2 linked regions of the Cricetulus griseus genome follow. The protein of the gene in region 2 interacts with the protein of the main gene of each other region in a pairwise test. Links are inferred from orthologs where the notes say so. Each region holds a gene or a part of one and is shown on either strand. Other genes may lie near its edges.

Region 1 (4,572 bases), on a different chromosome or scaffold from region 2:
CCCACCCAGGGTCTAATTTGAGATTCTGATGGACTCTGGCCTGTGGTCTCCTCCAGACTGTGGAGGGAGTGGCCTTTGAAGTTCTGAGCCCTTCACTAGAACTCAGACTATTTTAAAATAAAGGATGATTTCAAAGTCAGCCTGCAAGTGCCTGCACAACAAAGCCGCCATCAGAAACAGTTTGCCTTTGAAGTTCACTGTGGTAGTGTTCCAGTGTCTTCACTGGAAAATAGGGCCTTTCACTAGGCTATACCACTGTGTAGCTCGGGGCAGGGGTGGCTGCTATCCATGCCTGAGTCAGACTGTGTTTGGAGACATGGTCTGAGTAGACCAGGCTACCCTCTAATTTTTAATCTTCTTCCTCAACCCATTGAGTGCTGGGTTTACAGGCAGGTGCCACCATGACCAGTGAGATGCCTGTTTTGAAGAAATTCAAGGCTAGTGCAGTACATGTACTCTTCAGTGAAACATGAGAAGGGCACAAAAAGCCTGTGAGGCCTCTGGAAGGCTAGCAGAACCATCTGCCAGAACGAAACTGGTGCCTGGGCCTAGACAATAGTTGAGACTCACCCCGAGGCTCTTCTGCTTGGCCCACAGAGCTAGGCAACACCTCAGCTAGCTTCTTGGGTTTATTTCTGACTTTCATAGACCAGTGGTATTACTGCAGGGACCCTTGAAGCTGTTGTGAATTTACTACACTTCCCAAAGAGCAGTGAGGAGCAACAGACATCTATCTCCTGTACCCTTTTAAGAGCACCCAAGTGGCTAAGCACTGGTATGCTTATTCATCTCAGCCTGGCCTTGGGGAACCCCAAGGGGCTTTGGGCATAAGTGAAGGATTCAAGAAGCAGGTTCACTGGAGATAACCATCATCTTACATTCTTTTATTATAATATATATATATATGCAGATCTGTTAAATATACAGTAATAAATTCTATCAAATAACTACAAGGCATTCTGCTGGCAACCTCCCCCCCACAGGGTTAGGTAAAACTTGCTGTCACTCTTCAAAGGCCACCAAAGCTTAAGACTTCAGCTCTCAGGACACAACATAAATCAGAACAGACGTTAATTGCACTAAAGATACGAGTGAGCTGAAAGGAACGTAGAACTAGGCATAATCAAACAGTGTATTTGCCTGCATTAGAACCACAATGGCAATGGTGAACAGTGTGCGTTTCTCGTAGCGTTGATGTGGTGCAGGGTGGCAGGAGGCAGCTGTGACCCGCTGGAGCTTCTCCAGGGCTCACTGCTTCTCTGGCTCTCCCTTCTTGGGTTCTTGTTTCAGTTTGTAATCGGCTAGGGCAGCTTTGATGGCGTCTTCTGCCAGCACTGGAAGGCATGGAAGGGTAGATAGCTTCACTTTCAAGACATTGGAGAGGTGGTCTTTATGATTTTATACACTTATCTTTGTTTATTCATATAGTTGTGTAAATAGGTATTTGGAGCATGTATGCGTGTGTTTGTACATGTATGTGAGTGGGTGCATGTGCTGTGCTCATGTGGAGGTCTAGGACAATTTTGGGGAGTGGGTTTTCTTCTCCACCATGTGGGTTTAAGTGCTCTAACTTGGGCTTGGTGACAAGCCTTACCCCTGGGCTGTCTCCCTGGTCTGGGAGGTGGTCTTAAGGAGGAGAGTCTTTTTAAGCTGGAGGGTGCTAGAGCTGGGAAGGCCCAAGAGTGTCCTAGCTGGGCACACAGACTGGGATGGTCATGCCTTCCTGGCTGGGATAGTGAGGGGATTTCCAGAAAGTGCCTGTCACCAGGCAGGGACACAACAAAGATCAGGTCCCAGAGAGTATGGACTGGTGGTCACAAGTGCTGGCAGAGCTCAGCCTTAAGCCAAGAACTCTGATGGCACAGTCTGCACACCTCCTCCTGCAGTCCCATACTGGAAGGCTTTTACTGAGGTGGATACCCAGAGTGAGGTTACGGGGAGTAGAAGCTGAGAGCCAGAAGGCCACAGAAAGCTAATGACCCACACAGATGAGCTACTGCCTTGGCACCTGGAAGGCTAAAGGCTGAGGCTTTCCCTCAACTGCCAAACTGTAAAGTGTGATCTCAGGGGTGTCCTGAGGATGGTGCACCAGTCCTTCGCTCGTCTGCTCTCTGATGCATCTGAACCGACTAGGTCAGCAAACCTGACAGCATGTTACAGTGACATCCTCATTCCTGCTTTCTGGGACATGGGAGTGGATGGAAGGCATCAGATGTGAGTGCAGGTTCTGAGGTGCATGGCCTCTCTTAGGGCAATGCAAGTGTTACACAATGACCTCAGTTGAGGAAATGCACAGTGAAGAGGGCGGTGGAGAAAGCTGTCTCTTGCCCGCCTGTCCACCAGTGTGGTGGGAACAGCTGATTCTGAACAAAGATCCGGGCTCACCTCTGGCCCTACTGCTTTTCCCCAAGCCTCATTTCCTCATCTCTGAGGGGAGCAATGCTGCCGGCTGGGGTGTTTCTGGGTGCTCAGTGTGGCTCTAGGGCAGAGGCTTCCCAGCCTGACTTCCTAGAGCTCTGGAGCGTGAGACCATAGGCTCTAATCTCCCAAAGGTTACCATGGCAGATGTTTTCTGGGGTCACAGGATAGGTGCCTAACAGGGAGTTATGACTACTGAGCGTCTCAGTTCCTGATACTTGGGGTAGACTCACTGGAGCAGTGCAGTTTCACGGGCGGGAGGCAGAGCTCCTTGGCGATGTCCGTGTTTTTGATGGTCAAAGCTTCTTCCACCTGAGGTGCAGGGGAAAGTGGGAAGTTTTAGTAGGTCAGAACACACCCCAGGATGGGCTGTCGGGTAACTCTTGCTTAGGACTTCAAAACAACTACTGGGCAGAACTGCCACTGTGTACCCAGGGGTCTCTAGGGGGACACACACAACTGAGCTGCCTGGCTGGGTAAGCAAGAACAAGACCCCTGCCCACTGAAGGCAGGTATTACCTAGGCTGCTTCTGCAGCCTCTGCCCGAGGGTGCCTGTGCACTGAGAGCTCTGAGGGATGATAGAGGCAGGGGACATGGCCAGTACATTAGGGAAAGCCAGTCTCCCCCAGACAGGAGACCTTGAGATTAGAGAAAGAGTCTTCCTACTTTCCAATCATAGCTCAGAGCTCTCTAAATGCCATGTCATAGCATGTGCCCAGTCTCACTTCTCCTTTCCCCAAGGCTAGTTCTTAACCAACTTCCTTTGAGCCATTTTCTTCCAGAACAAGCAGGCCTGGGCCTCCCTAAGCTCTGCAGCCCAAGTGCCTGAATCATGTGGAGCAGGGGGCATGAGGCTAGTAAATGGCTCCACTGGAGGGCTGGCTGACAACATAAGCATACCCCTCCATGACTCAGCTTCCTGAACTGGGTCCTGCAAGGGTACAAAAGATGAGCGCACTGCTTTAAAATGGGGTCTCATGCAGGGCAGGGTGATGCTTAAATTGCTACGTAGCTGAGGAAGACCTTCCTGTCCCAATCCTGCCTCTTCCTCCTAAGCGCTGGGATTCCTGGCTGGTGAGCCATGAGCCACCACACCCAGCTAGTGCGGGTGGTTTTGATGCAGCTGGATCTTAGCAGACTCATCTTAGCTGCTGAGGAGGGGGCCGGTAGAGAAAAGGACAGAAAAGATGTCACAGCCCATTCCCAATTCCTTTCAGAAGTTCCTGGCTGGCCACCCGGACCACTGCTCTCCTTTACTCCGCCCTCATCCTTGTGATTTTGACTTCTGAACCCCCTCAACACAAGATACTTCTACCAGCCTCTAAGTGTGCCTTTCTGGAATCCCAGTCGAAACAGGAGATAGGAGGAAACAAGGAGTAATTATTACACAGTATTCTCAGGAAACCTTAGGGAAAGCCCATGGTGGTTTCTTTTCAGTTCTGCTTGGTCAGAGGGACTGGTGATGACCCTCGTCTATTTAGCTGATAACCAAGTAACAGTAACAAAAAGCCTCAAAATGGTTCACAACTCCCAATGTGAGGAATGTAACCAGTATTAAACTTTAGAAAATGGCTTCAAGAAATCATTGACATCTTTTTTTTCCCCCTAAGCAAGGTCTTGCTGCCTTTCCCAAGCTGGTTTTGAACTAACTATCTTCATCTTCCTGCTTTTTGTTTTGTGATTTATGACTAGACTCTTCCAGAGCCAGGGTTGCAGGGAATTCTGATTTAATTCTATGATTATGTTGAAACAGGTCTCATTATGTGCACAAGGCTAGCCTGGAATTCAGAGATCCTTCTGTCTCTGCCTTCTGAGTGCTGGGATTAAATAATTCTATACAATCTGTGACCACTCTTACCGTCTTTCCCTTTACCCACTCCGTGGCTAGGGAGCTGGAGGCGATGGCGGAGCCGCAGCCAAATGTTTTAAATCTGGCATCCACAATCTTCCCCTTCTCATCCACCTGGATCTAGAAAAGAAACAGGCGCTCAGAGGTGATTCCTGGACCTGACATCTAGAATGCAAGAGCCTGGAACTTCTGGCCCACAGTGTGTGTTATGAATGAGCCCTGGCTTGCTGCCCACACCAGATGCCATGGCACTGATTACTGTTTTTTTTGAAAGAGCTCAGTCACTGACAGTGAAACTCGGGGT
Region 2 (4,709 bases):
TGGGTGAGAGGCACAGCTAGCCAGGAAAGGAAGCTTGCTCAGATGTAGAGGCCTCTGCAACCAGAAACCACACTCACCATCCCCCCACCCTCTCCTCTGAAGGTCCTCAGGGTCAAGGGACAGGGACTTAGAGCCAGCCATCCCCATCTTACCATAGCTCCACTCCCTGGCATGGGGTCGGGACAAGGCTGTACCTACCTCTTCCACTCTTCCTCTGTCTCCCAGAACTCATAGATGACGAAGGTGAGGCCATCTGCCATCCTCACTGCAGCGACACTGCAGGGAAGCGATACGAACATCTGTGGCTGGCGATGGCTGCCCACTGCCCACAGATGGACATCACAGTCTCAACCTCTGTCTTCCCCATTGGCCATCCACCGGACAATAGGAGCTGGAGACACCGGGGCTATCCTGGCCGAGAGTGCAGCTTAGCCCACTTGCAGGTGCTATTTCACTGACCACAATGACCCCAAGTCTCCAGGGGCAGCCACAAGGGCACCTGGCATAGCACCAAGGCCCACAATGAAAGCAGGATTTAAAACATCTGGTTTGGGGAGTTGGGAAGATGGCTCAGTTGGCACATGACTCTGAAAACCTGAGTTCAACCCCCAGAATCCATGTGAAAAAACTGAATGTGTCTCAAGAAAACAATGTTAGGGCCAGTAAGCTGACTCAGCAGGTAAAGGTGTTTGAAACATAGCCTGATGCCCTGAGTTTGATTCCCAGGACCTACATAGTGGAGGAGAGGAATATCTCCTGGATACTGTCCTGACTTTGTGCTGGCTAGTTTTTAAGTCAACACAAGCTATAAAGGAGGGAAACTCAACTGAGAAAACGCCTCCATTAAGGTCTTATTATTCTTACTTAGTGTCAGTAAGTGCTATGAGAAAGCAGGCTGGGAAAGCCCTAGAGGGCAAGCTAATAAGCAGCACCCTCCATGGCCTCTGTATCAGCTCCTGCCTCCAGGTTCCTGCCCTGATTAAGTTCCTGTCCTGACTTCCTTCAGTGATGGACTGTGATAAACGAAACAAACCCTTTTCCTCCCCAAGTTGCTTTTGGTCATGGTGTTTTATCACAGCAATAGAAACCCTAAGACAAGCACCCCCTTCCACAACCCCTAGTGTACACACACACACACACACACACACACACACACAGAGAGAGAGAGAGAGAGAGAGAGAGAGAGAGAAAGAGAGAGAGAGAGAAGCTGAGTACTCACAACTCAAGAACAATACCCAAGACTAACCTCTGTCCTACACATACATACACACACACACACACACACACACACACACACACACACATACACGCGCGCACATACATGCAAAGCACCTGCTTTTCAAACCACAGCACCCAGCCTGTGCCCTGCTCACTCTGTCTCTTTTGGTCCTTAAGAGGACACTGAAACTCAGGGTGGACTACCCACACTAAATGACCCGCAGCCCAGGCAAGTCCCTTGAATGACCTGGGCTGTCACTCCATTTCAGATGCGGAAGATCTTGGTGACTGGGGCAGTGATGTGAACGAACTTGTGGGCTCTGGTGGAGTCAAGGGTGCACTCAGTGCTGTTCCTGTCCCCGCCAGCTCCTCCTGGAGCCTAGATGCCTTTCTTTGCCACATGTGGCAGAAGTGTACCTGAGCCTCTCAAGGAGGTGACATTCATTAGGGTGAAGGCTATGCAAATTCCAAGTCATGAATGGTTATTCATGAGAAGTGAGGGAATGTGACTCGTGCACCAGCCTCAGGCTCTTGAGTGGATGAGGTGCCTGCCAGCCTTAGCTGTGCCTGCCAGCCAAGGTTCTGTGCCAGCCAGGGTAGGTGCCCACTCTGGTCTCTCTGTAGACACAGCAAAGGTTAGCATGGACAATTGGAACCATAGGAGTGTGGCTACCACAGGATGATGACAGTCAGTCAGGTAACCTTTGTCTGACTGCTGGCTTCTCAGGTGGGGACTTCCAGCAGGAAGGCACAGCAAGGCAAGCTTGGGTATGGAGGACAACAGGAGGAAACCTTTTGCACCCTGTGTATAGAACCTATACCAGGGTCCTGTCCTGAAGAAGCACTGGGATGGGAGGGGCAACAAAACCAGGAAGGCCCAGGTGAGGATAAGGGGTGTCCAAACCACAAGGTGAAGTTCTCCTCCCCTTTCTTCCTTTAAGAACTATGGTAAGGGCTTCGATGTTGCTGAGAGATGCCATGTGGCCAGCACCCACAAGAGATTTGGTTCGGTCCCAGCACAGCAAAGAAAAATGACCATCTGTACACCACCTCACTGAGCCTGTCCTCATCGGGGACCTCCAGACAGATATCATGGCATGCCCACAGGCACCAAGAAACTGACATGACTTCCACAGTCAACGTGACTGTATTCTGGCCTCTCCCATGCAATTGGTGAAATGATCCTTTATCAAGTTTCTCTGGAGGCCAAAGGCCTAGCCATCCCCTGCCTACCCCATTTCCATCTTCCCCTCCATCAGCCAAAGCAGGGCTCTTCCTCATCTGAATGTGTGGCTTCTCCCTGCAGCTGTCAGCCTATCTTCACACAGAAGACAGGGCCAACCCAGCTCCTGATGATGCCATCCCAACACAGAGCCTCTGGCACCCTCCTTACTCCCCCATCACCTGTCCAGCCAAACCACATCTCCCCTCTCTTGGGAGCTATGTGTGCAGACCCCTCACTGGAGGCCACAGTTATCTGCTTCACCTTGCTGCCAACCCAGGGTTGGCAGGACAGGAGTGGGTGGGGGCCGGTGACCTGCATTCTGGAAAACATACCTTCTGGAAGCTCAGCTTCTCCCTTTAATCAAGCGAGTTAGGCTCTATTGTGTGAGTAACAGTGATGACTCTGGGTGAGTGGTGCACGAACAGGCATGGCCTCAGCCCAGCATATTATTCTATTTGCCCTCCCAATATACTGTGCTTGACATATGAGTGAGCCCAGGCCTGGGGGTGAACTCACCCACTACCTCCTACAGCTGGAATGAGATTGAGCCTCACTTTCTTAGCTTCCTTGTCATGTGCCTCCCCTAGGAGAGGGCTGGCTCTGCCAGGTCCATCCCTCCCCACCCCTACTGCCAGCCAGAGGCCCTGATTACATCCCCTTTATCTTTGCCACTTACTGGAAACAGTTCCTTTCTCCAGCAGTGCCCCGGAGGTACTGTCGCAAGGAGTCCAAGAATTCGCTCAGCTGCTCAGGACACACAGCCATTTCTTGTCGGACCAGCTGCAGGTGCTGTGGGCCGAAGTGAGAGTGAACATGTGTGTCAGGCCCTTCCCCTGCCACCCATACCTTGTTCCTGAGAGGTGGAGACAAAAGGGTCAAAATAAAACCACCATGCTTTTTATTCTTGGATGTGCAAATCAGCTAAAGGAAGGCTGGGCCAAGTGGGTGAAGTCCTTGAGGGGCCCCCACAAACAGGGCAGTAGGAATGCTGCAGGGACCCCTATCCAGAGGCATAGCTAGTGACTGGCAGGCTGTCTTTCTGACCAAATGCAGTCTGGTGACAGAGAGGGCCAGATGATTGCTCTACTCTAGGCCAGATGCTTTTTAACCAGAGTCCTGGAGCCTTGGCTCACCATGCCCCTTGGGGAGGGAAGGCTGAGACATGGAGCTACAATACTCCTCAGAGGGCTGGAAGAACAGGTCAGAGGAGGGGCAGAGAGCGTCTCACCATGTCAGTGCCTTCTTCGTCTGAGAGGCGCTGCTGCAGGTCAAACCAGAGGGTCTAGAACAAAGCACAGTGGTGCCTGTGTAGCAGGCCACCTCCAGGGAGGCTCCCAAGGCCCCACCCAGGACATGGGGTACCTGGGACCCCCCCCCAGAGTTACAGCCCCTGTTCCTATGTGCTAGGCCTAGTGGACAAGGTTGCTTAGCTCCCAGACACAGAGCAGCAACAGGGGGTCCTAGGGCCAGCGAAGTCAGGGAAATGGCAGAGAGCTCCTTGTGGTCCAGGCCTCTGAAGCACTAGGAGACTCAGAGACCAAGGTGGGCTCCCAAGAAACTGTTTTTACCAAGATTTCATAAGAGCCCTAAGACCCATAACTTGCTGACCTCACCCATAGCAGTGACCCTGGGTTTCCCATTAACCCTTGGCCTGCGTGGGATGGCCTGTACGATGCTCGTCCAAAGCCATGACCAAAAGCTTTCTGTATAAGTCTCATTTCCCAGCCTCCCTGAGCCAGCTGCTGCCCACTGTGTGATTCAGGAATGCAGAAGCCATGCCTGCTCTGTGGGCCACCAGTACCTGGCACCCAAGACAGGGCCACACTGATGTCCAGTCATTGCTATGTCACAGCACAGAACCCCAGGCTCAGATGAGTTAAGGATTATTAGGGCCTGAGTTTAAACCTATGTCTCCTCTATTCTTCCTACAATGTGGGTACCTCACAATCACAGCCTCTGTGCCTGTCTGCCCTGCCCGAAGACAGCTACATGTAACAAGCAAGAGGTGCATCCACTGTTAAAGAAAACAGTGGTGGGTGGTTGGTTCTCAAGTTTGAACAAGGGCCTGCCTCTGAATCACACCTCTAGTCTCCACTGACCTCTTGTCTGTACATCTCAAGAAAGGGCCAAGTAGATAAGATGTCTTCGAAGATTCAAGCTTGTTTCTGTCACTTAACAGGCACATGGGCAGCTCCAGGAAGGCCGGGGCCCTTTGGTCTCTCTACAATGAGATGGCCAGCCCAGCAGTACCCAGACCTGCTACCAA

The links.
Region 1: the proteins of Necab2 (region 2) and Iscu interact in binary tests that used the Homo sapiens proteins (3 or more experiments, as listed by UniProt). The two-hybrid records come from large-scale screens. The link is inferred for Cricetulus griseus from reciprocal best matches to the Homo sapiens genes NECAB2 and ISCU.

The regions. Positions count from the first base shown.
Region 1 is NC_048597.1:93,420,373-93,424,944, reverse strand, and holds the end of Iscu (iron-sulfur cluster assembly enzyme ISCU, mitochondrial), read right to left. Parts: intron 4,389-4,572; coding exon 4,278-4,388; intron 2,731-4,277; coding exon 2,652-2,730; intron 1,335-2,651; coding exon 1,249-1,334; 3' UTR 864-1,248; downstream 1-863.
Region 2 is NC_048596.1:196,101,580-196,106,288, reverse strand, and holds part of Necab2 (N-terminal EF-hand calcium-binding protein 2), read right to left. Parts: intron 3,726-4,709; coding exon 3,672-3,725; intron 3,233-3,671; coding exon 3,120-3,232; intron 277-3,119; coding exon 199-276; intron 1-198. UniProt on the Homo sapiens protein: May act as a signaling scaffold protein that senses intracellular calcium.